2 linked regions of the Oreochromis niloticus genome follow. The protein of the gene in region 1 interacts with the protein of each later gene in a pairwise test. Links are inferred from orthologs where the notes say so. Each region holds a gene or a part of one and is shown on either strand. Other genes may lie near its edges. The genes, in order: epn2 and wbp2.

The links.
Region 2: the proteins of epn2 (region 1) and wbp2 interact in binary tests that used the Homo sapiens proteins (3 or more experiments, as listed by UniProt). The link is inferred for Oreochromis niloticus from reciprocal best matches to the Homo sapiens genes EPN2 and WBP2.

Annotation. Positions count from the first base shown.
Region 1 is NC_031969.2:13,197,913-13,209,958, forward strand, and holds the start of epn2 (epsin-2), read right to left. Parts: upstream 6,311-12,046; 5' UTR 6,255-6,310; intron 5,816-6,254; exon of another isoform or gene 5,778-5,815; intron 3,663-5,777; exon of another isoform or gene 3,429-3,662; intron 1-3,428. UniProt on the Homo sapiens protein: Plays a role in the formation of clathrin-coated invaginations and endocytosis.
Region 2 is NC_031973.2:25,100,082-25,112,119, forward strand, and holds wbp2 (WW domain-binding protein 2), read right to left. Parts: upstream 6,371-12,038; 5' UTR 6,186-6,370; coding exon 6,127-6,185; intron 5,053-6,126; coding exon 4,944-5,052; intron 4,760-4,943; coding exon 4,624-4,759; intron 4,540-4,623; coding exon 4,447-4,539; intron 4,360-4,446; coding exon 4,213-4,359; intron 4,129-4,212; coding exon 4,006-4,128; intron 3,172-4,005; coding exon 3,095-3,171; intron 1,474-3,094; coding exon 1,426-1,473; 3' UTR 211-1,425; downstream 1-210. Other genes in the region: unc13d (protein unc-13 homolog D), read left to right, coding at 9,695-9,754, 10,618-10,644. UniProt on the Homo sapiens protein: Acts as a transcriptional coactivator of estrogen and progesterone receptors (ESR1 and PGR) upon hormone activation. In presence of estrogen, binds to ESR1-responsive promoters. Synergizes with YAP1 to enhance PGR activity.

The sequences.
Region 1 (12,046 bases):
TCCATCATTACAAAAGCTTTAATCTTGGCTTGGCAGGAAATGCTCAGAAGTTATTGCTGTGCCGGCAGTGCAGGAATGCGCAATATGTCGTTTCAGTATCAACATCATCAGCATGAAGTAAGACACATTAGGCTGAACACAACTACAACTTTCTGTCTCTTTGAGACCAAAGAAAAAAAAAAAAACTGCACCTTTCTGACTTTTCTGTGAATAAACTGAAAGGGAAGTTTGGCATAATTTACCCACAACTAACGAGTCCTGTATATATTAGTTTGTCACTTGTTAGTGACACGGAGTTCTGCGTGCACACAGCACACACAAAAGAGTTTCATCAATTCATTCATTTTTGGAGTTCTTTTACACTCCAGTTTGTGGTGCAGGTCTCCCAAAACCAGGTGACACTAGTAGCAGAAACATCCTAGCATGCCTTGCTCTATGAATGGGTCCATCTTCTCCTCATGCACCAGTGTGCCCGCTCTCAACGGAAAGATTGCAACCCAGAGTGGGTGCGTCTCTGAAGCTCCTTCCTCCCCCGTTTAGGCAGACGATGAGTAATGGCCAAACACTACCCTTCAATTCCCACTGGGGTGCCCATATCACAGCCACAGCCACTCATGCCACATGTCACAGCAACTCAAGGCAATTCCACTAGACGCACCACAGCACATTTCAGGAGCAGTTCTTTGGTCCACTAATGTAGCGAGACGATGGAAGTTAAACAATGGGCGGTGGACGAGGCAGGCAGGAAGTCAGTCATGGTTACGGCATAGAGCAATCGGGCAATTTTTAAAATCATCCTACACTGTGTGCACACAAATTACTCCCGGTGCAGGATGAAGCAGAGGAGGACAGAACAAAATCACAGAGGAGATACAACATTACAGACCCAAGCCCAATCTGTTCCTGAGGTTAGAGTTCTAGCTTTCAACAAGCTTCTAGAGAGAAATCTACCCCGGACAAGGAAATAACCAAATAAGGGAACAATAATGATGTCCTCTTCATTACGGTTCATATCAAACGCAATGAGAAGTTCTGCCTCATGTTGCTTGCATGAGGAAACCCATAATGATTCACTCCTGACCGGCAATAGGATATAGATGTGTATAGCTGACAGTTGGAATCAAGTTACAGAAATATAATTTCCTAACTTACCATTAAGTCCTACATTTTCACTCACTTTTCTCCAAGCGTCCCCCCCCCTTCTCTACATAAAAGTGACACAGAAGCAAAAAGGCACTGTAGCCCTCAAACAGCATCAATACACTTGTCCTTCATTTCTGATTCTCACTTTCACCTGAAGAAGAATCCACAATCTACAGGGCAGTCCCGCTTGATTCAAACTTAATTTTTCAGCTCTATTCACATCACCTGATTTCACAGAATCTGAATGTCATTGTGCATCAAGAGAGAACCCACCAAGGTATCTTCTCAAACCACATGTACAGGATTTAACTGCAACAGGCTAAAAAGTTTTCCAAATCAACCCTTGTTTTACAGAATCACCCCAATCATTAGATCAAAGAATGATTCATGTTTTTCAGCCAAACCTGTTCATATTGCCTGGTGAAGGTTTGGAATGGGTTTTTCATGTCCTAAAAAAATATATGAATGAATATATTCCAAAGAAAAACGTAGAACACTTGACTTAAGTGAGTCACCTTAGATCATAACAAGTTCAACTTATCTTGTGTGTGTTTTGGCAAAAGCTAGGTAAACTGTGATTAGCATTAAGGGCTCAGAAGCAGCGCATTGAGAACAGGTCCACCTTGTCACACAGAATGAGTAAAGCTGATCTCGAGATAGTAGGCTTGCACAACCGGGCGCCTGTGTGTGAATGTGACAAGACTATATTTGTCTGTTCAGAATGACATGGTGTATAATAGGCTGTGTAATGGCATCCAGCCAGTTCCTTAACCACCCCTTTACAGTCTGGTACAACCAGGAGCAACATTCACAAGTAATTAATCCTCATCTTCTCCTAGACCCAAGGATTAAGCTCCCAAAAGCCAAACTCGCGTCAAATAAGCACTAACACTTGTTCAAACAGTACTAAAGTGGGTTTAAGTGAGCTATTACAACCGTGCACTGTGAGACAGTGAGACGGGAGGAGAGACCACCATCTGATCGACGCATCACCCCACCTTTTGTCCTCTCTTGCTAGCCGAGAGAGACAAAGCCAGCCAAGACAGGGACGGGAGGAGGACCGTGATGATGCATCTGTCACCCCCGTAACTGACTGACCATCCTGACATTAAAGGAAGCGCTGCCCCTCTTCTCAGGCCACATAAATACGGGTTCAGTGCAACTATGAAAAGAGAGGTTTTACTCAAACATCTTTGTTGTATGTTGAAAATAGAAAAGAAAACCCTGCCAGTATTAATGATCTAAAAACCAAACACTTTACTCGCTGCTTGTCGGAAACGAAGAGAGTAAACAGACAGCGCCCACGTCGTAACGATATTTTTTTGATAAAAATATCAATAAGTACGTTAAGTTTTGGACTGCTGAGTCACTGTAGTATGCTCTTGTCTAGCCCTCGCCTCTATAACAGCACACGTGTTTCGGTAGAGAAAATAAAAATAATTTAATTGGCTCCTTTTTTTCTTTTCTTTTTTTAAATCACGGCGTCTCCTTGAACTGACGTGATTGATAGTTAGCACATAAGCTAAAGTAGCTTTAGCTAACATTCGTTTGGTGCTAGTAAACTACCTTAATGTTATTTATAATCCTTTCAGTCAAAAATCCAGGTGATAGAGGTGAAATAAGTATGTGTATAAAACAGTGCAAGCTTACTCTAACACAGAATAGCGACCACACTTGCTACTAAGGGGTTTGCCGCTAACTACAGCTAGTTGAGTGCAAACTTGCGGCAAGTTCTAGTTCTTAGCATTGATTGAGTTAGCGGTGACTACACATTTCAGCTCACTGGAAAAGTACATAACCCGGAAAAGTTTGCTGTAGCGTAAAAATACACTGCAGCGATCACTTTTTCCACTTATAGATATTTGCACCCGAGATACCAACCACCGCCTAGCGTCCAATTTACAAGACGATTTCAAATCCTGGCTTTGGGAAAAGTTGAATCAAAGCTAGCAGAGCTTGTGTTAGGACAGCCAGTTCACACACCATCCCCTCCAGCACCCTACTAACAACACAACTGTTGATCGCTCACCATCTAGATGTAACACAGTTTACTATTTACCGGTTTTACGACCAATCCTATACTGTAACGCACAATCGTTCGCGTTAGCCTCATAAAGTACTTTCTATGTTAGGACAGTCAACTAGCATGTAAAGCTAGTTAGCGATCCTTCAAGCTAGCAGCCAAGACGGGAGCTCAGTGGAGACATCACCATAGCAAACTGGATTACAGGACACCCCAGAAAAACAAAACAACGCGACTGTGTTGAAAACCAAAGGTAACTTACCAGAATTTTTGAGAGGGATACTTTAGGTACTCGTGTCACTCCAAGTGGAGGTCAAACCAATAAACAAACGTAGCTAATTCCAAAAAGAGAAGGGGGAAACCGAGACAGGAGTACTTATTTGGGCGTTCAAGGAGCTTGTTGCGCCTCCGCCTAGCTATATGCTGCTAGTGCTAAGCCAGCTAAAGCCAGGACTACACGTATCTCCTCCTCCTACAGAACATGGCGGGCAGAGCAGGAGGTGGGCTGTAGGGGTTGGCCGGGAAGGGTGTGACCATGTCGGCTTGACTTGGTAGGGATAGAGACAGACCCTTCATCCCTCGTGAAAACCCACGGGGGGGAAAGGTGCGTCGCTGAGCAAGTGACTGTAAAGTGATAATTATAATTTTCAAGTTTTCACATGAACGATTTACAACATGCAGACATGCGTGACCACAAGAATGGTTATATTAAAGTGCTGGACTACTTTGTTTTTTTTATGGAATAGCTTTTTTGTTTTAGTAACCGAACAGTCCTCTCTGGTAAATCTAGTTTTGAAGAGCCATTTTCCAATTTCGTCAAAGAAAGTTAGCAGCCAAAAGGAAATAAACGGACATGTAGATTGCACAAGTACGTGCATGTCATGATTTGTCACTGCAGGTGTGTCATTACAAAGCGCAAACTTTGTAGGACCGCATTCCATCGCTCTAATTTTTTCCACCCCACCGTCACTACGCAACCGCATTTTCTTTCACAGGTATTTAAATAGAGGGAGGGGGACAACACGTCACACGCCCCAGACACACGTGGCACAACATCTATGAATAGGCGCAGATGCCTTACTAAAAAGTGCGCAGTGAGCTATTAATAGAAGTGTATAGGTTGTAGATGCAAAGCGTGCAAGTTAAAAATAGACAGGGATCAAAATGTCACGAATCTGCAACGCTGACAGCAGCCAAACGTCAGTATGACCGATGTGATGTCAGTTGGCTGTTTTTAGTGCTGTGCCATACTGCAAATTTTGTTATGATCGATAACAAATAAATACAGGGCCAGCATTCCCGATACCATTATCGGTATTTTCAACTTATAAGCAGGGCTCTAGACTAACTTTTTGACATGGGCGCACCAGTACGCCTAACTTTAAAAATTTAGGCGTACTGGCACAAAAGTTAGGCGCACTCAAATTTTTCAACCACATCGCTTAACACCGCAGTTTTACACGTGCACTTTCTTTGGGGGGGAAGTCCATACAGACAATATTCATTTCTAAATTATTAACTGACAAACTTGTGCTTAAATTGCTTTGTCAATATTGTAGAAAATGTTAAACTTAATCATCATCTTGGCTCCTCTGACACCTGTTTGCTGCTGCCTGCTGCTGCAAGGCAGTGGGGAGAGGGGACACTTGGGCAGTGCATTTATTGCAGCGTATAATGTGTTTTCTGGATACACTGCTGTTTTTTCAGCATTCAAAGATTGATGGCACCGTGTCAGAGCTGGCTATGAATTTCAGATGGATCAGTCCTTAACTTAACACAAAAGTTATCAATAGTTCTTTTCATCTTTTCTTATTACCCACAGCTACATCCACTTCTGTCAGGCCTAGGCTGCTCACTAGGGCTGGGAATCATCACTGATTTCTATAATCCATTCGATTCCGGTTCTCAAAGTCCTGATTCGATTCAATTTAGCCTCAGACAGTCAGAAATATTATAATTCTGATAATTTATCAGTACTGATACATGTGAGACTTCATCAGAATTGTGAACATCACAGCAGATGCCTTTGTGTCAAAGTAACTGAGAATAAAACACAGAAAAACATGAAGGAGATTTTCCTGGTCTGGCGTTTTATAGCAGATAACCTTAAAAATATTCTGCAATTTTACATAATTTTAAGAAGTTTAAATTTCTTCAGTATTGAACAGCAGAAATTAGGCTTTCTTGTCCGAGGTCATTTAAGTGAAAAAAAGAAAAAGAAAAGAAAAAGACAGCGGCCGACAGCGCTGTAAACAACGGTAGACTGGTGGGTAAAAAAAAAAAATCTTTTAGCGAATAAATAATGCAGAAAACTTTTTGAAAACGCAGATTTTTCTATGCGTTTGCACCTTTCGTCCACACGTAAACGGCTTTTTCGGTGACTGAAAACGGAGATTTTTAAAAACGCCTGCCAGGGTGGATATTTTCGAAAACTCTGTTTTTGCATTTACGTGTGGACAAGGAAAACGGAGAAAACGCAGCGTCAAAGGTGTGCGCCTTTTTTGACGTCACACTGTGCGCCACGTTATTGTTTCGGTGAAATGAATTTCTACAATACTGTTACTGTTAATTTTACTCTCTGCAGTGTTTAAATGCTTACATATACACACACAGTTACTGTCCCTCCACACATAGGACTCGGTTGTGCTTCTATCCCCCATCTTTGTTTACTATTTCCTACCGAGGCTTCTAGACTTCTGATTGGCCAACATTTCTACACGGTTAGGAATATATCGCCACCTGTTGCTTTGGCATGTTCCTAGCAGCGTTTTCCTTCATTTCTGCGTTTACGTGTGGACGGGATTATTTTTTTAAAACGAAAACGGAAAATCTCCGTTTTCAAAAATACCCATGTACGTGTGGACGTAGCCAAAACCTGCAGCTCAGAATCTAGCGCAAAAAAGACGGAAACACAGCGCGGACCGACGCATCAGAATCGCTAAGCTCCGACAGCGTGTCCGTGTTCGGGCCGTGGGGTGAGAAAGCCGAGAAAGACAAAGCTGATTCTGATGCGTCGGGTCCGCTCTGTGTTTATGTCTTTGTGTGGAATCCGTTAATGAATTGATATCGCTTTATTCAAGCTACTCACCTCTCTCTTCCAACTGCACTTTCAACTGGACCACGGCCAATCAGAGAGGTCCCGCCCCTGACTATCTCTGATTGGTTTAGTCCACGATAGGGGCATAATGTGTGTCTGTTGTTGACCACACGGAGAGTTGCAGAGTTTTTTTTTTTTTTTTGTTACCCGAAAATATTTTTTTTATTCGCAACACTGAAAAATTGGTCGCACTCTAGAGCCCTGACTTATAAGGACAGCTTATGTAGGGGAGTGTCATGTGTCATGACATTTAAAATCATCATCAATTTGCAAATTCTGAACACATTTTAACGAACACCAAATTACTGTGAGTTTTTTCTTTTACTTTTCTCAAAAAAATCTTTTAGCTTTTTGTCACTGGGTTTTTTGGGGACCTAGAATGTAAATGCACCTCTCTAAAGCACTTTGTGTGAACTTCGGTTATTAAATGTGCTTTAGGCTATAAATAAAATAGACGTGACAGTCAACACAGTTTAAGACATTTTTTCATAGTACATCTTTGAGATTATTTTTCAGTTCTTAAATATAAGACAGTTCAGTCAGATAGATAGTTAACTTTGGGGATAGAAACAAAGTATTGATCCTATCACGCTAGTATCGATCCGATACAGATACCAGCATTGGTATCGATACTGTCGATGTTTGAATCGATCCACCCAGCTCTGCTTTCTAGTAAAGTGCTAAATCTGGCTGGGAGTGCCACCTTTAAAGTTCACTGATGCTTTTGTGTCCTGCTGCTGCATATTCAGTGGAAAGGATAAGCCAATTAAATGAAGCCCAAGCCAAGCTGATTGAGATGTTTTTGGCACTCGCTGCTCTCTGCTTGAGAGAGTGATAAAAAGAGAATAGACTCTTTGTGCAAACAGGTTTTTTAAATTGTGTAATTGGCCTGCTCTAAAGCTATTGCCTGAACAGAACAGAGCAAGTCAGAGTGCGAGAAAAACAAATTGTACTACACACTACTTACTAACTCAAGACCTTTAAGAAGAAGACCTATATTGGTGTTTTTAGAGGAGTATTTCAAGTTGATGATTCATCTTACTAGACTGCCAACATCCACTATATAAAGCAAAGCCCCTCCTGATGCGAGCCTGCTAACAAGAGGATTGTGTACCAAAGAAGGTTTGGTACATGGCAAAAGGAGGACATGATATCTTTGTGTTACTAAAATATACATGATCTAATCCTCATCAGGTCTTAAATCCATAAAGTACAACCTCATGACATATTATACTGTGTCATAAACTAAACTAAGCCAAAATGCAGAAGCTACTATGATTCAGTAGCTTGTAGAACCACCTTTAGCAGCAATAACTTGAAGAAATGGTTTTCCTTGTGACTTTATCAGTCATTCACATTGTTGTGGAGGACTTTTGGTCCACTCTTCTTTACAATGTTGCTACAGTTCATTGAAGGTTGTTGGTTTTTGTGTATACACAGCTCTCTTAATGTCCCACTGTAGCATATTGATCAGTTTTAGGTTTTCAATTTTCAGTTTACTGTTGTCCTTGGGAATACTTTGGTATACCAAGGAGTTCATGGTCAAGTTAATGACTGCAAGGTCCTGCAACTGCACAATGAGCCCAAATCATGACCCCTGACAGGTGATACGCGGCATTTGTGTTGTTATGCTGTCTTTGAGGGGAGCGCGGAGGCGTGGTGGTTTGCACTGTCGCCTCACTAGGAGGTCCTGGCTTCAATTCTAGTCTGAAACCTTCTTGTGCCGACTTTAATGTTCTCTCCAAATAGTTCATCTTCACACATGGAGTAAGGTTAATTGCTGATTCTAAACAAACCATAGATCAGAAAGTGAGTGCGAAAGATTGTCTGTCTCGATTTGTTAGCCCTGCCACAGACTGGCGACCCCAGCTACTGTAGAATGGACTTTCAAATTGTTTGGAAATGGCCTTAACTCTTCTCAGATTGGCGGGCAGTAACAAGCTCATAGCTGATGCCTTTTGTTCTCAGGACTGATGGCCACACACAGACCTGAGCGCACCAGACCAGCAAACTGCCAAAACTTCTGCTTGTTATAGACGTGATCACACTTGCTGATGATCAGTTAATGGAGTGCACTTGATTAGCAGCATCTGGCTGCTACTCTCTGAATTCCTATAGATGTAGTAAGGGTTCATGTTTTTTGCACACTGCCTCTGCATTTTGGCTCAGTTTTGGTTAAATAAATAATGACACGGTGTAATATGTCATTTGTTGTTGTTTATCTGAGGTTGTTTTTACTGAAGTTTAAGATCATATTATTTTAAAACCTCATAATTGAAAGAGGATGTACTTTATTTTATTTTAACCATGGCTGTATTTCTCCATAATCCAACACAAAGATGCAACAGCTTTGTGCAAAATAGATGTAATTGTGGCAACTGTGGCAAATCCTTTGTTCTTCTGCAACAGGTATCAAAGAGAAGCTTGAAGGTGACATTCATGGTTGGGTGAGAAAGCTACCTCAAGCAGTTATTTTGCAAACAAACAACAAGAAAATGTCACCTTGGCATTTACTATCTCCTCTTATCAGCCAAACTTTGAAAGTTAAACTAAATTCTGATTGGTCAGTCTGTGCAAACAAAAAAGTGAAGTGGCTATGTGTTGAGTATGTGCCCTTTTAAAGTACATGCAGGTCCAGTGTCAGCCAGTAGAGGTCAGGAGCGTCCCACTTTTAAAACAGAGAGCGTGTCTGTAATGTGAGCACACACTAAACTTGGGAGGGCTGTCTAGAACCCCCTGCAGACATGTGTGACCTTTAATATGTAATTACCATATGTGACCCCCCACAAAATCACCCTCCACAAAATAATCACCCTCATTCTCAACACTCATGCCCTATTAGAGACTCTCTGGGCCATTAGCTTGTCTTGCACCATCCATGGTCAGATGCACTGACCCAGCATAGTTTTGCTCATGCAGAATGAGTATTGCAGTCACTAACACATGATTCGTTGAGTCTAGATGCCACCATGCGTGACACATGAACAACAGACGTCAGTCAGGTGAAGCTCATGATGATCATTTGTTGTTAGCAGCTTACCATATCTCACACCAGTATTATATAACCGAGCGGCGTTTATCCCACACCAGAAATTCAGCCACCCAATGCGGTAAATCTCAGTTACAAAGGCAAGCGGTGCATGTGAGTCATATTAATTTGAATTTTATTCAGCAGGATGTGCAAACACACAAGGTTCACCTAAGGAAGCTCAAGCATGAATATAACTGGTGCATCACTTTGAGAAGCCTGCAAAACTTATGTAACGTGGAGGAAAAGGAGGAAAGACTGGCAGGAGTCAGTTTTTGGCCTGAAGTGGCGCACTTGGTTCCAGACGGAGCCTAAATCGGCAGAAAGGGGGGGCAGAAAGCATGAAACAGGATAGTGTATAATTTTTGCCACTCCTGCCAGCTTATTAGCTAAATCTTTTCATATGCAAATGGTCGAGTGCTTGTGAGGAGCTCTTGTAGATTATACCTGGAGAAGGAAGGTAAGTGGAAGAAAAACAGCCCCAGCAGTTGTTATTTACACATTTTTAGCATAAAGAACCCACCTGATCAACTCCTCTACTGTGAGAGCGGACTTATTTTCTTTTTAGTAAAAAAAAACAAAAAAACCTTCATTATAAAGGCAACTTTTTAATCCATATAGTCAGCCTTCCTCAGTTGCAGAGATACAAATCCATACATGACCTCTTACCAGTTTGACATTTTCTTGACCAGTGTGGCTGAAAAATGCACCTTTTCACCCACCTGTTCACACATTTCTACAGACATATCCTTGTGAAACCACTCCTGCAGACAGAGGTGAATCATGTTTTCACTCTTACACACCTAACCACTTTAGTTACATGTACCCTTTAAGACAGAGGGGTCAAAGATAAGGCCAGAGGGCCAGAACAACCAGGCATAGTCAAAGCTGGCCTGTTGGGCTGCTTCGGAAAATGTGAAGGAGGGTGTACATTTTGAACTTTTCACTGTATTTTCACAGGTTTTGCAGCTTTGTTCTGATGATGAACACCTCCCCAACATATTTAAGTGATAATTAAACAATTAAATGACAGAAAAGTGCCTGTTTTTTTTCACTATCTAATAAAGAAACTTCTAGGTTAAAAAAGATCATTTTCTTCTAAATGAACAAAAACTTTTATATATATATATATATATTCACATGCCATATTGGGGAATGGCATGAGCTTTTTCTGTAATTTTACATATTTATTTCTTACAGTTTAATCCCAAAGAGTCATCCTCACAGATTTAACTACAGCAGCATTTCTTCACCTTATGTAAAAACGGAGAGCCGCTGCTGAAATTACACTTCTTTTTGTTATATTAAAACATCTCATAGATTAAATGTGTGACAGAAAGTGTAGAGTAATGTTGATCCTGGGCAGCAAATGAAGGAGGTAGTTCTCTAATTGGCTTCACAAAACTTTTTTTTTTTTTTTTTGGTGAGCTCAGATGCCCTTCCTGCCACATGTTGTTCAGTAAGTGCGTGAGAGAGGAAGCAAGGTAGAGCAAAAAAGCAAGTGAGAGAATGGGAGTGGGGGTGGGGGCTAAGAGAGGAACATAGATTAAAAAGCATCGTGGGGACAATGCAGTACAATATAATGACAGCTATTGGAGGTGGGTGGGTGGGGGAGGTGGCGGTGGTGGGGGATTACAAGCATATAGGTGCAAAAGAAAATTGAGGGTAGGAACGAGCTGTAGACAAATGTGGCCTGAGAATGCACAGATCCTGAGAGGCATTGTTTATTTGTTTCAGGGGAAGTTGAGCGATTTTGTGCCCACCTGCTTTTTCCGCCATTGCACACTGACTTCCGCCAGCTAACTCAAACACGCAAACCTGTTCACCCATTTCAAGCCCCCCTGCATTACTGCCCCCGGCAGGATGAAAATGTTGATGAAAATGAAAATGATGAAAATGTCACCCAAGCAGAAAAGCATTGGGTTTGCATACTAGGTGCTGCCTGTGTTGTGGGTAACACACACACAGTGTACTGCAAGGCTGTTAAAAATGGCCTATCAGTCACACTGAATGAAGGATTCATCACTGTTAACAGAAAACACATCATTGTGTACGGGCAGCTGATGTTTATGTAAGTTTTAACTTGGTGTTTAAAACATCCGACGCTTTCCTGGAAAAGGACACAGGAAGTGATGTCATTGTGTCAGCTGAGGGGCCTAAACAAAAGAAAAGAGCAGTGAACAGCACAGTGCCTGAGACAAAGAAGAGAACCACCTACGGACGCACAAACTCAACCAACAGAAAAAAAAAATGCAAAAAAAAATAAAAAATAGGATCACCCACAACGTTTATGTGATGAGTGAGGCCAGAGAGCTGTACACAGAAACACAGCGGCGTGTACCACACATGAAAATATAGGAAAAAAAATGTCTGGCTGTAGACTATATCGATCCTTAAGTTTTTTAATTCACTTCCAGCATTTCAAGTCCACAAGACATCATCACACACAGGAAGGAAAAGACTTAAGAACAAGGCTGTTGCTTCGGCCTTAGAGCAGCCGGCCAGTTCCACTTCCTCTCTTTCTCTTCCTCTTCTATTCTTCCATCACCTCACATCTAGCCTTCACATCCCGCACTCCTCCTTCTGGTGGCACAGTCAAGTGACGCAGCTGACCGGGGATTTCCTGGACAGGTCACGCTAAAGAAACAGCTACAACTTCCCTGTTGTTTTATCTCATTGTAGTTAGAGCAGTTTGTATTTTTACTTTGCATTTCCTCTTCTATGTTTTACTCTCTGTCTCTTCTTCTTTCTAAGT
Region 2 (12,038 bases), on another chromosome or scaffold:
TCTTCCTGCTGACTGTTGCATATGTTTGTTAGAACTGCTAATGCACTATAATGTGGACTATTAAAACTTGTGATAGCAATACTCTGCTGAAATAAAGACAGACACTTCTGAATTCTTTATTAAAATCCAGTCCAATGCATACATGCATCAGTTGAGCTCATGCCTTGTTTTCTTACTCGAGTTGGTAATTATTCAATAAATTAGTTTCAATTAAATACAGAGCTTTATTTTTATTTTACACACAGCCATGACGGAGCATACAGGAACCCGATGCATAGCATTCTAAAAGTGCAAAGAATCAGCCGCAGATGTGCCACAGATACAGTATATAGATTAGAGACCGCAGAGGAAGGAAGAATAGAAGATGAGATACTCAGATTGGACCTCAAACTGAAGAGTAATGATCACGACCACAGAAAGCAGAAACAGAAGAGTTCAGTGATGGTTCTGTTTGTGTATGTAATGTTAAAAATGTAGTGAAGATGAAAGCAGGCTGATGATGAGTCTGACCGTGCGTCTTCTCTAACGTCTGGAAGCGTAATAAAATAGGAAGTGACATCATTGGGTGACTGCTCTGCTCTTGCAACATTATAAAGATAATCCCTCCTGGCAGTCGGTCCCTCCAAAAGCCCAGCCGTCCTCTCCCCCGCTCTGATCCAGGATCAGGGATTGGCTGCTGTGGCTCAACGCCGCTCTAATCTTTGTGGTCCGCTTGTCGGCCAAAACACGTCAAAGCAGGTAGCGCCACCCTGCGACCCGCTCGTTAAAAAAGCTAGTTTTTCTTTAGGTTAGTGTTCTTGATAAAATAATGTTATTTTTTTTTTAAGTCTACATATTAAAAGCCTGTACACACAAATAATAGAAAAATAAAAGACTGCGTTCATTTCGCCTCTGGACAGGTTAGCAAAGTATTTACTATCATTTATCTGAGTCTAGTTTTATAGACAGTCACAGGACATCATAAGCACAGCTGAAGTTAAGGTTGCTGCACGATTCTGGGGAGGCTTCCAAGGCAAGAAATACTAAAATAGCTCATCAGGTTACAAGGTTTTAATCAAAAAAGCCCTCAAAACCACTCCAAACACTTTGGCCTGAACAATCTGTTCTTCCTCAGAGATTGCTACCAACACTTCTTCTTTGCTACTTTACATCACGTAAAGGTGCATTTGAAGAGAATGAAGCTGATTACAATATATGAGTCGTTACAAGGAATGCAGGCTGAGGCGGGAAAGCAATAGGATGACTTTAAGGTTAGATCAAAATGGAGATGAGCTGGAAGGAGATTAGGATGAAAAAATGGATAAACTTGGGGGGAAAAAAGAACATACTGGCCCTCCTACTGTCCGGTTAATGTAAGAGAAATAATGAGATCCAGCGGGATGGAGGACAGAGGACAAGGAGGAATGAGGGAGACATTAAGCAGGTCTACTGGTTCTTCTTGTCTTCTGGAGGAGAGTAGGGAGGAGGCTTGTCCTGGAAAGATAAGATAAGATAAGATAAGATAAGACAAACTTTATTAGTCCCACGCATGGGAAATTTGTTTTGTTACAGCAGTGGACAGTGCAAAGTTGCATAAAAAAATTAGAGAAAAACACTGGTATAAGATATCAATAAGATACTGTACACAATAGAATAAAATAAAATAAAATACTATATGCAATCGAATAAAATAGAATACAAATGCTATATACAATTGAGTATAATAAAACAATGCCAGATGACGATGTTTTGAGCATGTGAAAGTTGGTGCCATGTAAGCAGGAGAGTAGGAACACACAGTGGTCTTGGATTACTGACATACACAGACTGAAGCTGTGGTAAACAACTGGCTTTTAACCCCATAAAATGTGGTTTTATCAGTGACTTTCACTTGCTGTAACACCTTAACCATGTCATCCACCGATGCTGTTACTGCATAGCTGCTAGCATCAGTGACTGTGTCACAGCAAAGTAGAGAGAAAATAAATAAACACTGGCTGACCTTCTGCAGACTGATGCAGGTAGGGATGTTTCTGATGTTAATGGCTGATGGCCAATGCCTGTGCTGATTATTTTGCTGTTATTATGGATTTGTTGTCATTCATTGCTCTGTTTTTGTGTCAGGGGACAACACGAAATGTTACCTATGCAAAATATCTGACCTGATTTCTTTCACACTGAAAAAAAATTGATGTGATAACATATTGGTTATTCATCATTAAATGCCATTTTAACTGCCAATAGGCTGATATCTGTCAACTACATCGCTACATTTCAGTGTTTTACATTAACCGTAGCACTGAAACAAATTACACATTTCTCCAAAGTGGTGAAGACGGCTGCACGGAGGGCATCTCCTGTCTGAAGCTGTTGTCCAGACAGTAGATGCCCTTCTTGTTGCATGTTGAAGCTCTACTTGGAACCTTGTTAAGATCCAATCATGCAAAATATGATTTTTTAAGCGTCTTAAACTTTGATCAGGACTGTAGCATCACACAGTTGCTGGAGATCTGCTGTCTGCACATTAATGATATGAATCTCACATTCCACCACATCCCAAAACAAGACATTTTCACCCACAGAACTGCTCACTGGACCTTTTCTCTTTTTTGCTTCTTTCTCTGTAAACCTTAGAAATGGTTGTAAAGGAAATCACAAATTTCCAACCCAAAAACAAAAAAATGCTAGTGTGGCTCTATGAAAAAAAAAAAAACAGTGATATAAGTGAGATGCAGACAATACTCTCACCATGATTTTTTTTCTACACTTGGAAAATTAATCTGACTCGATGCCCCAGCTTAAATTTACCAATACGTTTAAATATCATGCAAATACACTGTGCTAAAATACTCTCCTCTGTATGCAAAAAGGCCCTCACTTTTCAAATTACACACCAAATGAGTTTATTTTGGATCTGCAGTCACTGTTAGTACAGCAATACTAGCAATGACTACAAACAAACAGATGACAAATGGAAAGGAAACACAGCTCAATTCAATGAGAAATGGAAATTCAAACAGACTGTCTCACAGCCACTGTAAGAAAATCATTGACAAGATTTACACTGTCATTTAAAAAAAAAACTTGTATAGCAGAAACATGAAGGGCAGCTCACCTGCGGCAGGTACACATGTGTAGGGGGCAGCGTGGCACAGCTGGCACTCGCTGCTGCTTCAGCGGCTTTGGCCTCCGCTGGGAAAGCGAGTGAGACAAAGGAGGGGGTCATTAATTAAACATGGGTCTTACTAATAACCCCTGGGACATATGAGATGAGAGGTGCTAAACGAGCTGCAGGTACGATGGTCGGTGCATTTGAGAGAGAAAAGAACGGCAGTTTAGAATCTCCCTGACTTGCAGATAGCATTTTTCCAGCGGGAAGTGTTTTAAATATTTTGGAGATCTGACATTAGCTTATCTTTAACCTTAAATTCCTTAGTACAAAGTCTCTGTGAGGCTGAATTAAGCTCATGTGATATCAGTGCAGTGCATTCATTGTTAGAAAGCAGGCAACATGTTGCAGTTCCCACTGCAACACTAAGTACTTCCAATAATGTACTGTATGCATCGCTTCAAATATCTTGAGGGGAAAAAAACTATCCACACTTTCAAAACAAATTACTTTTCTTAGTTTTCAATTTAAAGTTTACCTGTAATAATTCAATAAAGGAGGATATTTTTAAAAACAATCTATATACCACTAAAAAAAATATCCTAAAGACAAAAATGTTTTCCACAGCAGATATTTGACTTGGTGTGGCAGGAAAAGCAAAAATGTAACAAAAGACATTTCATTAACATTATACTGGGTCTGTATAATGTTTGCACATTTATGAAATGACAAAGGTATTCTATTCTTTTCTAACAAGACCTGTGTAAGCAGATCTGTTCCAACATGATATAGAAATGGTAAAGTATAAAATAGACTAACGAACACGTGCAGAAATTCAGCCTCCCTTTTTTCTGTTAGCATGGTGTTTTTATTTAGGCTGTAGCTGAAGTCAGAGCTTCTCTACTGGAGATTTTCACCTGCTGCTGAGGAGGGGAGGTCTGGATCATGTGGTGGCTGCTGACCCAGAGGAGCAGAATAAGGAGGTGGAGGTATGTATGCTGCAGAGGCATCAAACGCTGGAGGAGTGGCGTAGAATCCATCTGGAGTCCGAGAACAGAGAGTTGCAGTTTAGTTTTCACTTTCACGAGATGTGGAGCTAAGCTGAGGACAATTCTGAAAACTACCTGGAGGAGGAGGGTTAGGGTAGGAGTAGCCGGGCGGAGGTCCTGCTGGGTACATTCCATTAGCAGGGGGAGGTGGGTAAGCGTAGGCCCCATTAGCCATGTAGGGGCATCCACCAAAGCCAGCGGTTACAGGCTGACCTCTGGATGCTGAAAATGTGAGGCAGTAAATCGATTAATAAGTCCATAAAATATCAGGAACTGTAGTATTTCATGTGTTCTGCTTTGTTAACATACCCTGAGCTGCAACCTGCAACATGTACTGGCCAAACTCTATGGCTCCTCCAGCAGCAAAGATGAGCTTGAAAGTAGCACTGCCCTCCCAGCCACCTCCAAGAGATATTCAAGAGAGGGCTTAGAGACACAAGATGCTGCATGATCTATTACAGCATAACGAGGAAAAGGTACACCTACCTCCAGGCTCTGCATTGACTGTGCCCTTGATGTAATTGGCTCCCAGGACAGGCTGTTTGATCTCACAGCCCTTCATCAGGTAGAAAGGCATCATAAAAGACTGCAGTGCATCCCGCCCTTTAGCCAGGAAGATCACCTGGGATTAAAAGAAGAAACAGCATCATCTCAGCTTCTCCCAAACTAATCTTAAAGCTTAGTAATTAGAATGATAGAGTTCTGCTCTTCTGCTCTGCTAGTACTTGATGCGAATTGTGGCATCATTATGGCAGCACAAGGCTTCGTCTAAACAAAGAGGAAGACTTGGTGGTGTTGTCACTCACCCTGTATGGAGTCAGGTAGATGCTGCCCTTCTTGCTCTTTCTGAAGGCTTCGGGCAGCCTTTCCGTGTCACAAAAAACAAGCTCCACATTGTCATGATTCATCAGCACACTAGATCCAAAAACAGAAAGGAGACACTAGAACCAGCTGATTGTAGGAACCAGAATTTTGTGAACTTTTCAACATTTTTTGTGTGCATCAAAAAAAAATCAGCAATGTTTGTATGAGCATGTGACCTACTTTCATCTTAAAAGCTTAAAATTAGATCACTGGGTTATTGTGCAACTGTCCATTGCCTTTAGTACAAAGTAGTATAGGCAGAGGATTAACATGCCATCTAGTGACAGAGCTTACTACAGGTTCCGGGTTAGCTCTAATGGGTTTATCATTACACTGCAGCATGTTCTAGAAAAATCTGGCCATTATTTTGACTCGTGCTAATAAACAAAACAAATATTTTAGCACAGAGGCCAGGCCAGAGTGCAGACTGAAGGCTATGCAGCTATTGCACTGCAATATATGCTCAGCTATTCCTGCAATGAGGAGAAATAACGTTTTATCCTCGATAAATTAGACTTATTATAACATTTAAAAACCACTAAACATTTATGTAATCCTAGTCTGCGGTGATGATATAACAGGCTGAAGGGCCATATTTCGGCTAAGAGTCCGAGACCGGGTTCTGTAAGATGCGACGCGAATATTAGATTAGAAAATATGACGTTGAAATAATTAATATAGCCATGCTAGTCGTGAAGCACTCAGAGGTTTATTTTGTATCGCCTTGCATTGATTAGGAGCAGCTCTTCAATTCGGACTATATGATATAAAAGGCTCTTTGTAAAAAAAAAAGATACTGTAGTCAAAAATGAAAGCAAAACGATTATTTCACGGTGTTCGGCAAAGGCTTTTATACATATGTTTGTTTAAAAAAAATAAGCTACCAAATGCTAAAAGTTAGAATTTCAGTGCAGCGTTTACTGTGTGGCAGGTGTGTCTGTGTGTATTAACCGAATAATAATGTTGTATTTGCAGTGCAGCTGATATGTAAACTATCTCCATGAAACGTCAGAGCCACATTATTTTTGAATGAGTCTGGTGTGACGCTCGTCCCAAAGAGCGGGTATAACTTATCTGTGGCTGGTTAACTGTAACGCCTAGCTAACAGCTGCTAACTAACGTTACCTTTCACTGTTGTTGATGATGACACCACCGGACTCCGAGTGATTCTGGTTCAGAGTCATGTCGACGGCCCTCCAGATTGTATGCAAAAAATGAGATACTGTTTTATTCAGTCAGGAAAACGTATCCAAAGGCCTCTCTGGATCCTCGGTGTCTTCCCTCCGCGCGGATAACGGTTGTTGTGATACAGAGCCTGCTGAGGTTACCGCACCTGCCCTTCCGCCATACGTGTGAAACGCCCACGGCGTGACGTCACGCCCCTTTAAAAAGTCGGCTTTTCAAAACATTCAGTTCGATATTAAATATTTCTTTAATAAATTTACTATCAAATGTCTATGACTGAATGACGTTTGAATGAGCGACACGAGCTGATATAACAGGAGAAAGTTCTACAAGGTTCTACCAATTGCAATATAGCTTCTAATAATAGTAATAATGCCAGAAAATCATAATATACGTAAGACTTTTAATGTGTCTACGCCTCTATAGTTAGTAGTACAGTTAGATGTAAAAAAAATAATAATAATAATGATAATTCATTAATTCGTTAATTAAAAAAGAAAGAAAGATTTCTTTACATGATGAGTCTGGCTGATGTACCTATTATCCTAAATAGAAATGTATTCTTACTTAATTGCTATTAGTACCTTCAGGGCAGGGCCAGCCTTACCTGTTTAAGGGACAGATAATTTATTTCAAGTGAGTCAAAGGCATTGACAAACAGAAGTAAGTCCAAAATTCTATTTGTAGTACAAATATGGCAAGATGATTTATATATCCAAGTATTGAAATGCCTCTTACATTATGTAACAGAATGAGTCAGGAAAAGGTGAGTGGTCAGGTTAGTCAGAAGCACCCACATCCTTGTAAAAGATGCAACAAGTGGCAAATCCATGGTGTGTGTTGGCTAACAATAGTTGACATCTATGTCTGACCCTCTCTTTGTATCGTTCTCTAAATTCCATGCACAAACCTATTATATGAGCCAGGAAAACAAAGAACAGATAATAGATTACGCAAAGCTGTTAAATAGAACAGATGGGTTAAATGTCACTTTTCACTCCAATGTGCTAATACACTGGAGGTGATGTAACTACCCTTACTGTCAAAGTTTACTGCTATCATATGAAGCTCTAGGATGCGATCATGGAACATCTCATACCTGGATCTAAGCTCATATAACTTCAGTGCTACCATACAGGTAAAATCTCAATGCCTACACATGAAGCTGTGTGGAAACACCTGGCTGATGCTTGAAATTTAATCTAAAATGATTGATTAAGAATTCTTTACAATTATAAGAACTCAACCACCTCAACATTAACATAACTAATTTTTTACTTCAAGTAACTTTCAATTAAAATTCCCAAATATTCATTAGCTGTGTTTTTTGCTGCACACATGCTAATAAATTTATATATTGTTTGCATATTATTAGTCTAATAAAATCAAAATGCCTTATTAATTTTATTTGATTGAACATTTTATAAACCAAAGATTTTGAGATTTCATTGAAAAAAGTCATCAGATGCACTGTAAAACTTGATATACTGTCACCTTAACCAGTGTGTAGAATGCAAAATGTAGCTAATTAGCTATAAGCTAAACTAGCCTTTTTAATCTAGCTAATTTAAAAACGATGTAGCCAGCTGAAAATAGAGTATATGTAATACAGTGAAAGCAATTACTGAAACAGTTTAAGAAAGGGTACCTTAAAGTAAAGACTGAGATATGGTTTTGTATAGAATGTGATGTCTTTGTGATTGATAGTGTTACAAATAAGGTTTCTTTTTAACATTAGTTGCAATTGTATGCTCATAATAGAGTTGATACACTCTTCATTAGAAGTATACAAGCTTTACTAACCCCAAGGTGTGAAGGGTTAACTAAGAGGCATGGAAAGAGTTGAGTGTTGAAAATAAATTGCTTCACCTTTACACAACACAGTTTCAGACAGGATGGGCTGCTTGGCTTTGGGTGTCTGATAACAGGGGGTTCTAGTCGACAAGACATGGAGACTTTATTGTGACAGGACAAGATCCCTGAGTGGAGGTCAATGACCGTTGCCATCCAGAAGGACCACGAGAAGAACAAATCAGGGTATGTTGAGTCTAAACCATGGCATTTACCCATCAATAGCCAGTCACAAAAATTGTGATTGGCTATTCCTAATTCTAAGTATATACTTTGAATTAGGAATTGTGCTTCACTTCTCCATGTGCAGAGTGCCCCAATAGAGGTCCACAGCTATGCAAGCCAAATCTTTAACTGCCTGATAATAAAATACTGCAAATAGTGTCTCCTGAACTTCTCTCAATTAAAAAAAACACCACAATAGCTCATTAGCCAGTCTAGCATTGTGTGCTATATAGACATGTCTGGACAGGCACCACTCTGTATTTCTTAGGCAAATCCTATTAGAGCTGTAAATGCTAGCCTGTGACCACAGAGCCCACTAAATGATGTCAGGACCTTGCCCCATACTCATGGAGTCTGATTCAATTCAATTCAATTTTATTTATATAGTGCCAAATCACAACAGAAGTCGCCTCAAGGCGCTTTATATTGTACAGTAGATCGCACAATAATACATACAGAGAAAAACCCAACAATCATATGACCCCCTATGAGCAAGCACTTTGGCGACAGTGGGAAGGAAAAACTCCCTTTTAACAGGAAGAAACCTCCGGCAGAACCAGGCTCAGGGAGGGGCGGGGCCATCTGCTGCGACCGGTTGGGGTGAGAGAAGGAAAACAGGATAAAGACATGCTGTGGAAGAGAGACAGAGATTAATAACAGATATGATTCGATGCAGAGAGGTGATCAGAAATATGTAGGCCAGACAGTGTCCAGCTCTCCCTATTTAATTTTCTGGTACCTCCTCAACATTCTTCAGACTGCATTAAATGTGCCCTCCTGGAGAAACTAGATTACCTGTGCAACCAAAATAGCCTGCAGATACAGTCTTACGCTACAAGTAGTGACAAGGACACTAGCAAGAAGCAAAACAAGAGAATAATATCACAGGTTTAGTCAGCTGTAAAAAATTTTGGGCAGCGTATATTAACTCATAGTGGAGTAATATAATGGAGTAAGTCAACATTCTAAATAAACACAGGTAAAACTAACCACACTCCACAGACAGGCTGCACTGTCTCATGTTACACGCAGTTTCATTATTTAATTCATCATGTGTCAAGTTATGGAAAATTTGCTCCCAGGACATACAATTTTATATGTCATCAGTGAATGTAACCTTTAAAGCTTGATTTATAACAAAGCATAATGTCCCGAAATGTAAAACGCTGTATGTGTGTTGATGTTTGTATATGCAAAGGTAACAGGGAGTGAGACCAGTATTTTGTATTCAAACAAAATGTGGGGCACTAGATGAAGAAAAAGTCATCAGTCACAGTCATTGACGTTACCACCTTCTACAGGAAGTGATGACTTCCGGCTGCTGTGTGACAGTTCATCGAAACACACCAAAGCACTCAGCTTCCCTATATCACGCACACTAGACTCAGCAGCTCACGAGGCAGGAGTCTGATGATCTTAGATTCGCATCAATATGTCAAGTCAAAGTGAGCCCACGAACAAAGGAGACAATCTACTGCAAACACCTGAACAGGTAAGGACTACAGTGCATTTCAATATGTTGGCACGACTGTAGACTCCACAATATTTATTTAAATTTGATTCTCCGTGAGTTATTAACTACTTATGTTACACGGTGATCGGGTAACAAGCAAACTGATGATCCCTTCAAATATTTCTGCTCTGGGTTTAAAAGATTTTCCTCGGGTTTGGTTTTCAGTAGCTTGTTATACTAGCAAAGCTTTTTTGCATTTTAGGCTAATTATATGAAAATTAAAAGAAAAAAAACATAAAATGGCAGCTACAACAGTGCTGTTGCATCTGAAGTTGAGTCACTGTCTCCAAATGGCTATTTCGAGATGCTGTGACTATGATTCATTATTATTTTCGGGGGAAAAAAACATCAGATCATGAAGAATGAAACATATTTTTCACAAAAGACGCTATTTCTTCACACTGTTTTGCAATCATTTACTTTTGAAGGGTTTGCTACATTCGTACATAGTGAAAATGCTGTACTGGTGTGCGTGTGCGTTTGTTGAGGATGGGTACATGTGTATTTGCATAATTATTTTTAGACTATGTTTATAATGATTCCCTTTCAAGTGAATTTCCTGGATTGTTGGTTTGCTTTTGCTTCCAAGTCAGTTTCATTATCAGCGACAGAGGAAGTCTCTTGCATAGGCAGGCCTTATCAGAAACTTTAAAGAAGCACTCGCATTTCTTCAGACCAGCATTGATGTATTTTTTGCACAGGAAGAACTTGTAGCGAAGGCTGCAGTGACTTGAGATCACATTTAAATTCCTGTTAGTTTCAGTTTGATTCAACTGAAGTAGTTGCTTTCTTTCCGTCCATTTAAATGTCCAACATAAGCACCTTTCCCTTGTTTTTTCCAGGACCATGGCTTACCAAGACTCAAACAGGTAAAACACACAAACCGTAATGAACTAAACCAGTGTGTGTGTGTGTGTGTGTGTGTGTGTGTGTGTGTTGGGGGGTAAATTTAGCTAAACCAAACCAGCCAAACTGAAAGACCAGAGCCTAATGACTCTGTATCACTGTTCTCAGCATGTTCACATTGTCATATTTATAGATAGTTAGATGTGTAATGGTTAGCAGGTTCATTGCTAATTACCACTCAAGGCTAAATAATGGAATGGACTGACATTTATGTAGTTCCTTTCTGAAAGTGCTTAGACTACATTAAGTATAGACTGCAACTACACAATTTACCTTTCTGTTATACGTGATCACTGTTTTTAGAAGTCATGTGATGTAAGATTTATTGATCGGCAAAAAGAACAATCACTCGTTGAGCTGCTATTGAGATGTCTCTCTCGCTTTCTCGAACCTTAGCTGCTCCTGTTGTTCCAAGAGGAAAAATAATCCCATTACTAAAGTCATCATGCTATACTTGGTACAAAATGTACCCAAGTTATTTTACTAGAGGAGATTTCTTCCTCTTGTGACAAAAACTGTTGTGCAAAATTCTAAGTTAATCCCTCCAATAGCGGTCAAGAAATTTCATTACAGATCAGCTTGGTTGCACTGGTTGAGAAAGAGTCAGATATCCCCCAAGAATCATTACGATAAATCCTTTAAGAATATTCATCCATCCATTTCCTTCTGCTTATCCAATGCGGGAGGAGTTGGAGCATATCCCAACTCCAACAAGGAAAAGTCAGGGACAGGTTGCCAGTTTATTGCAGGCTTACAAACTAGATTTGGCAAAGGGAAACTAACTCACATATGTCTGGACTGGTGGAGGAAGCTAGAGTACCCAGAGAGAACCCGTGCAGGCAACGTGAAGAATATGCATTTTTCACTTAACATCTGCAGATCTTGTGCAAGTTTGTCCTGTAGATATTGGGAGAATTTGCTAAATTACGTTATGGTGACACTAGAGAATAAATCTGTAAAATTCATCTTTTGAGGAGCATGAACATCTGTGCAGAATTCCATTTCAATCCTTCCAGTCTTTGTCAAAACAGCCCCTTCAAAAGTCCTCAAAGTCATTAGCAAACGTTCTATATGGACAATGTCAAAATGTACAAAATTTCAGGAATTTTTATAGGGAATGTACTCAAAGAGCTGCCAGTGTGACAAGTAGATATTGGATTATTTTACTGAATATGTTAAAGCCAGGAGGTCTTGTTATCAGTTATTGATATGTTTGTTCATAAACAGCTCACTGGCTTTGGTACAGGAAAGTCCCCTCATGAACAGGGATTCCCCAAAGTTACTAGGACATATCCTCTTTGAACAATGGACGTCAAAACATGGATAATATTGTATAAGTCTGTGAAATAGATGTTGG